2 linked regions of the Drosophila melanogaster genome follow. The protein of the gene in region 2 purifies or fractionates together with the protein of the main gene of each other region. This does not show direct contact. Each region holds a gene or a part of one and is shown on either strand. Other genes may lie near its edges.

Region 1 (3,600 bases), 4.2 Mb from region 2:
CGATCCCTTGTGGCCCGTCATCAGGCGTACCGACTGACCGGTCATGTTGTCCCACAGGCGTACCGTGCGATCGCTAGAACCGGTGGCCACATAATTGGAATTGGGATGAAATTGTACACAATCCACGTCCGACAAGTGACCCACGAATACGCGCAACGCTTGATTGGAATCCGTGGCCCACAGACGAGCAGTTTTGTCGTACGAACAAGAAACAAAATAGTAGCCATGCGGCGCAAAGCGAACATCCCACACCGGGTAAACGTGCCCGCGGTAGGTGACTACGCAGGACCAGGTGAGCAGAGACCACAGCCTTATGGTGCTGTCCTCGGAACATGAGAGCAACAGGTTCATCTCGGGGGCAAAGGCACAGCGGTATACGGGTCCGGTGTGACCCATTAAGCTCCTGGTTACCTCACCACTTCGGTCATCCAGCATACGCACATTGATATCCGCCGATTCCTTGTCCAGTTCGCGAAGGGAATCTGCATCCTTCAGCGTACGCAGCTTCGCGGGCGTCAATGACCAAATCCTCACGCTAGAATCGCCAAATCCACAGGCCAACATCGTGGAATCGTCTGAAATCTCGGCACAGGTTACGCCCTGATGGGAATTAAGCACCGTGTAGAAGACGGCAGAGGGCAGTTGATCCTTGCTGAGGGCTAAACGCTTGCTGGCTTCCCTGAGAGCCTTAAGCTTTAGCAACTTGTCCGAATCCTTCAGTTCCGGCAGGGGAATTCTGTCGATGGATGGAGCATTCGGATCCGACTTGGACTTTTTCGACAGCAGGGGATCCTTTTTTGGCTTTTTCTTTTTCGGACGATCCGGGGCATCCGGATCATCGTCCTCCTCCTCTGGTGCCGGCGCTGGAGTGGTCAGAGTCTGAAAGTCCACCTCCTTGAGCAGTCCGTAGTACACCCGCATTTTGTTGTCCTGTCGCTTGGCCTCTCCGAGGTGCGAGCCCGCGGTGGCGACGCACTGCAGCTTGTTGCGCGCCATGCCCTCGTATGTGTCGAAATGCAAGTACTTGGAAACAATATCTGCCACCACTTCCTGCCGGCGATCCTGAATGTGTCGCTTGAACAGAGAGTGCGAGTCCCTGGACATGCGAATGACAAACTTATCCTGCTCCATGGCTACTACGAGGTCATTCTCCAGCAGCTCCTCGGGCTTAGACAGCAAAAGAAGGTTGAAAAGACCCTCTATGTAGTAGCCGTCGAGATCGCATTTGTACTTCTCAATGAATTCTTTGGCCTTCTCCCTTAGTCCACTGGCGAGGATCTTGAAGTAGATCTGCACCAGAATTGGGTACAGAACCATGGACAGCTCATGCTTGTATATGTCCAGGGAGTCCTCAACGAAAGTGCGCAGCTCCTTGTATGCCTGCTCATAGTGCTGAGCATCAAAGCTGTCGTCGTCGATGAACTTGGCCAGTTCCTCTGCAGCATTGGCCTCCGTCACCGCGGACTGTTTATGACCCTGCGCCGGAGATTGGACATGTTTCCGCTCCCGGTTGGCATCGCCAGCTCCCAAAACTGCGCCCAGCACCTGCTGAACATCACTTTCGCTGATTTCCGACAATTCCACACTGCTCACATTCGCCTCTTGGCAGAGCAGCTCCTCAGTGCTCTTCAGCTGGTACTTTTTGATGAGTTTCAGCAGGCACAGCAGCTCACGCTTGTCGTGGGACAATTGAGTACCGTTTCCCCCGTTTATATTGCTCACTTCCAGGCTCATTTTCGCGGAAAATTGAAATATATGGAACTTGTGTACTATTTTGTTATGCGTGGAAAAGTGTGACCAGGTTGGCATCGGTTGAAAACGGCCAAGTGGAGAATGAAATATACTAAAATGCACCAAGTACAGTCAAAATATACAGTAGCCACTAGCGAAGACGGATTCTAAAAATAAATTGTATTAATACATTATAAATTATATCTTTTTGCCAATTTTTGGAATTACTTAAAATATAATGACATATTTCATTCTTTCATTTTACTACAAAATTAATATTTAACTTTTATGCAGGTCAAAGAAATTATTTGAAGATGTGCTTATAAAGGTCTTACTGTGGACAGCTGACTGAATACTTTTAGTATTTTTTGAGCAAATATCTTACCAGAATCAAAACATTCGTAATGAAGAGGAGAGTAATTGTGAAAAAGGTAAAATACAAAGTAACTGGCCAAATAAACAAGCTAATTTTTATAGCAGAGGGTAATAATTTGCTGTGCATTAACAGAATTAACTTGCCATTGCATATTTCAGTGTATTTGTCTGGCGCCTATCCCCCAACTCCTTGAACTTTGACACCGCCTCCTCGAAATTAACCCTTGTACTCGTGCTTTCTGTTGTGTTTAGTCCATATTTATTGTAAAAAATGAATGAAAATGATGATGCGGTAGGTCCATATGTAACATTTAAGCCATATTAGCTAATATCGTGATCAATTCCCGCAGAAAAAAGTCGTCGGCAAGCGGAATTCGGTGTCGTTCGATCAACAAGATCCAGGACAGCCGAGATTTAGCTTCTCTGGGAGAGTACAGGAGCTAGTCGAGGGCTACAATTCGGCCATACAGCTGCTGGCGCCCAAGTGGCCCTGGTTCCTCTACCCCGGATATCTGACATACGCCGTATACTGGCGTTACGCCAAATATTACAAGGGCAAGTTTCTGCTGACCCCCATTCCGAACCGCCTCTACGATCTGCTGATCAAGAACGAGCAGATTAAGTCGGAGCACCTGGTGTTCGCCAGTCAGGAGGTGTACGAAAACTATGCGGAATCGCCGGACGTCAACTTTGTCAACTTGGTTATCCGCGGCAGGAGGGTAAGAATCGGTAAGCCGCTAGCTTCAGACGAAGGAAATATGACCCAAACGGTTATCAAGCAAATGCTCCAGGAGGCGCCGCATACGATTGTGGCCCAGATCTTGCCGGCTGCACAGTGCCAACCCAATTGTCTGTACGTTCAGGTGGGTATCTAGTTCTAAATAAATGGAATATTTTCTATAATTCTACATCGTGTAAAATTTCAGGAGAACTTCTACGGCAACATATTGGATCGCTTTCAAATCCGCTCCAACTGCTGGGTGCAGGTAGAGCATTTTGCCGATGAGCAGACAATACCTGGAATAGCAACCAAAGCACATGTGTACTTAGTCGCAGATCCCCATGAACTTCCCGCCGAACTGACAGAGGTCATCCTGAGCAACTATTTCAATACACCTCGACTCATGCATCGTGGACATACCTACCGCATCGAGGTGAACGCAGAGTTGGTGGGCACTGCGACTTATGCCCACTATTACCTGATATTCGCTCACCTACGCCACGTCCACCTAAAGTGTATTCACCTGGAGACAAAGGGCAGCGAGTTCGAGCTGCAAGCGATTGTTGCCAAAAACTTTAGCAACCTTGTTCAAGTGCCTGCATCTCACAGTTTCCTGCCTCGTCAAGTGCTTGACAGCATGGCCATCGTTGAGAACTATCCAAGTGGACTTCGAAAGCCCTATAAGCTGTTGCGCTCCTCAGTAGATGCTTTCCTGCCAAAAAAGTCCGCCTGCCTGTCGTCAAAGCACATATTTCCTGTGTTCCTCCTGCAAG
Region 2 (3,956 bases):
TCTGAGCCAGCGAGGCAGCCATGTTTCCGGGGAAAACCTCTACGACACGCATTAATATGCAACCGCCTGTGCCATATGACTGAGCCTCCACTGTGATAAGGGTCACCAGCTGGTCTATTAGGCCACGTACTTGCATCAGCATCGAACATGGCCGAGCGCCAAGAGCACTTAGTGCGTAAACTGCCTCCAGCGTAAAGATAATCATCATGACGTCGGTAAGCGAGAGGAGCAACATGGCTCGCTGGTAAAAGTCCAGGCCAAGGCAACGATTGATGTGCTGCGAATTGCCTTCTCGTCCGCACAACTTATAGAGTATCTCCAGACAGCTCATGATCACCGCGCGGTCGTTAGAGTCAATACCCTCGCAGAGAGTAGCTAAAAGATTCCGCGATAGCTCGTCAGTGGTGGGGTCTAGCAGCTCAAATTGTTGAGCCAGGTTGCCAGCGGTCTCGAGGGCCTGGATGTGAATGTTGCCTAGAACGAGCGAAACGTGTTTCAGTTATTTTATTTTAAATTGATTCTTTCGGGATTGCTATGCTACGCAATAGTCAATTTCCTTGCAGTGTATTTATGATAGCACCTTGATACTTCGTACATTCAAAGCGCCAAAAAATATAATTTCTAAGCAGATAAAAAAAACTTACTCCATCGTACGTTTGCTCCCATGACCAAATATCGCCACAACGTGCGGTTGGAGGCCAAGAGTGCATGATTCTCCTGATGAAAGCTGAGTGTACGGACTAGCTGGACAATCTGAAGCACTCGCTGGCCCATGCGCTCATCAGTCCCGTTGCTCCGGCGCAGATTAAGGAAGTGCAACTCGTCGCAGGCCGCCAGCAGTTCACTTCGAGCGGCAGAGTTCTCACCGTCCTCCTTACTTATCAGACCGTTGTCCAGCCAGGCCTGCTCATCCGTGTAGAGCTCTAGGACCTGTGGCTTGTCGTGTAGCAGGTCGCGCCAGAAACTGAGCTGCGAATGGTGTCGAACCTCGGTGTAACTGTGCTGGAACAGCTGGCGCATGGTGAAGTCAGCGTAGACTCCCAGGTGAGCAAGCAGCACATCAAGCAGTTTGGGGCACTCGGACAGCTGTAGGGTGTGGCGCGCCTCGTTGGCCATAAGTGTGCACACGTTTATGGCGAAGTCCTGCTCATTGGGCAGCGGAGAAAGCAGAGACAACAGCAGCTTCTCGTAGCTGCTGTGTCGGTGCAACTGCGTGGACATCTTGTACTGTCGGCGTCGTTCCACATTAACAGAGTGCTGGCGCTGGTTGTAGGCCATTGGCACCGCCGGCAACGTAGAGTGTGCTGATCCAAAAATGCTTCCTAGGCCACCACCGGCGCCAGCCAAAAAACGAGATCGCGAGCGTCCACCGCCCATTTCTACAATCTCAATAGCCGCCTCCAGAGCCTCCATCTTGTCTGGATCCTCGCCAAAGAAGTTCAACCGTTCGTACTTGTCCAGGTAGCGTCTGTAGATGTGCTTGATACTAGCCGTTCCGTTAACGCAGCGCTCCCGCAATGTCTCCATGGCGCTGTACACCTCGTCCCACTCGTCCCGCATGGTCACCTTATTAAAGCCGCCTCGTTCGGTTACCTCGTTGTACAGCTTGTACAGGTCGACATGCTTACCGCTGATCCTGGCGGGCTGTGTCAATGGAGTGCTGTTTGGGCAGAGGGAAAGTGGGTTAGGTCGTCTCCAAATACAGGAGAGCCGCGGCAACTCACCCGCGTCGTTCGTGAAACTGCTGCAGGTCCCTCCAGAACTCCTCCGGAGGTGACGGCGGCATCTCCTCGACCTTCTCCGGCATGATCTGTAATTGGGCGGGATTCTTGGCGCGAAGGGGAGTCGCTGGGGCCGCAATCTTGCCCGGCGTCTGTAGATCGCCCGGCTGAGTGGCGCTGTTTACGGCGGCAGCAGGCAGCGACTGAAGCAGCACCCGTACGTTGTCGATGGTGGTGGCGCTCATGATTGGATCTTTTTGTGTGGTGGCGTGAATGGGAAACACTTAACACATGATATTCTAATAGTAAGACACGCAGATGCTAATTAAAATTATTTAAAAAACTCAACAAAAATTACAACGCGACGCTGACGCGCTACAGCAGAGTTGCATTCACGAGCAGGGCTGTCAGCAATTGGACCGTATATCGATATGAGGTATCGATGTCTTTCAATATTGGATTTGATTTAACTTTCTTTTATTTACTGTCTTCTTTGAAGACATTTGTTATTTCATAACTCAAAAATCAGCATCCAATCTACATTGGCTAAACAATGAAACGTAATCTGTTCTTAATTCCTTCAGAATTTACGGTTTGTTGTTCACAGTTGAAACATCTCTATCTCTCTCTCTCTCTCTTGCTGATCGAAATCTTTAGAGAACTAGTCAGCTGGCAGTTTGCTTCAGTTTTGAGCTGAATAATGTGATGAAACTGAACTCTCCATTACATGTAGTAACTCTTATTCAAACCAACTAAGCATTTGAGTCCAAAATTCATTACAGCCCAGAAATTTGGAAGAAAACACCGTTATGAGTAGGGTTTTACCAGTTTACTATTATCGAATACTTACAATCGATTGATTTGGCTACACTGTGCACACATGTGCGCTGGAACAAACTTCGTAGTTGGGTAACATTAAAGTTGGGCAAAACATTAAAACAACAAGATGTCTGTACGAGCGATGGGAGTGCTGGGCCAGGCGTGCCGCCTCGGTCGCTGTGCCCAAGTGTTGAGGCAGAGTCACCGATCCGCCCCAGCAGCGTTCAATATCACCATTGGATCGCAGCATTCGCCGGGTGGTAAGCACTGAATATAAGCAACCGGCTCCCCGGAGGGATTCTTATGTTTACATAACACTCATCTTTTCACTTGCAGCTCTCTCGCTCCGTCGCTACTCCACGGAGACCAAGCAGGCATCAGGATCAGTGGTGGACAAGCATGAGTTCCAGGCAGAGACGCGCCAGCTACTTGACATTGTGGCTCGTTCCTTATACTCCGACCACGAGGTCTTTGTGCGCGAGCTTATTTCGAATGCAAGCGATGCGCTGGAGAAATTTCGGTACACCTCGTTGAGCGCTGGAGGCGAGAATCTGGCTGGAAAGGACCGGCCTCTGGAGATTCGTATCACCACCGACAAGCCACTGATGCAGCTAATCATCCAGGACACGGGCATCGGCATGACCAAGGAGGAGCTGGTCAGCAACCTGGGCACCATTGCACGCAGCGGCTCGAAGAAGTTCCTGGAGCAGATGAAGGGGACCCAGCAGGGAGCCAGCTCGGAGGCATCCTCGAACATTATTGGTCAGTTCGGCGTGGGCTTTTACTCTTCCTTCATTGTCGCCAATAAGGTGGAGGTGTTCACGAGGGCGGCTGTGCCTAATGCACCCGGACTGCGTTGGTCCACGGATGGCAGTGGAACCTACGAGATCGAAGAGGTGCCTGACGTTGAGTTGGGAACGCGAATCGTGCTTCATTTAAAGACCGATTGCCGTGAATATGCGGACGAGGAGAGGATCAAGGCGGTAATCAAGAAATACAGCAACTTTGTGGGCTCACCCATCTTGCTTAACGGAAAGCAGGCCAATGAGATCAAGCCTCTGTGGCTTCTTGAGCCACAAAGCATCAGCAAGGAGCAGCACCATGACTTCTATCGGTTCATTAGCAATAGCTTCGATGTCCCGCGCTTCACCTTACACTATAATGCTGACGTACCCTTGAGCATCCATGCACTGCTCTACTTCCCCGAAGGAAAGCCTGGTTTATTCGAGATGTCTCGGGACGGAAACACCGGTGTGGCTCTTTACACCCGCAAGGTGCTTATTCAGTCCAAGACTGAGCATCTGCTGCCCAAGTGGCTGCGTTTTGTAAAGGGTGTTGTCGACTCTGAGGACATTCCACTCAACCTGAGTCGCGAGCTGCTCCAGAACAGCAGCCTGATTCGCAAACTGTCCAGTG

The links. The genes of interacting proteins can lie anywhere in the genome.
Region 1: the proteins of Bap170 (region 2) and Taf5 purify together in Drosophila melanogaster (affinity purification with western blotting; one study listed by BioGRID). This does not show direct contact.

Annotation. Positions count from the first base shown.
Region 1 is NT_033778.4:10,877,872-10,881,471, forward strand, and holds the start of Taf5 (TBP-associated factor 5), read right to left. Parts: upstream 1,803-3,600; 5' UTR 1,735-1,802; coding exon 1-1,734. Other genes in the region: Pex6 (peroxin 6), read left to right, coding at 2,136-2,162, 2,457-2,969, 3,033-3,600. UniProt on the Drosophila melanogaster protein: TFIID is a multimeric protein complex that plays a central role in mediating promoter responses to various activators and repressors. May play a role in helping to anchor Taf4 within the TFIID complex.
Region 2 is NT_033778.4:6,634,699-6,638,654, reverse strand, and holds the start of Bap170 (brahma associated protein 170kD), read right to left. Parts: upstream 2,144-3,956; 5' UTR 1,967-2,143; coding exon 1,725-1,966; intron 1,661-1,724; coding exon 645-1,660; intron 475-644; coding exon 1-474. Other genes in the region: Trap1, read left to right, coding at 2,668-2,800, 2,877-3,956.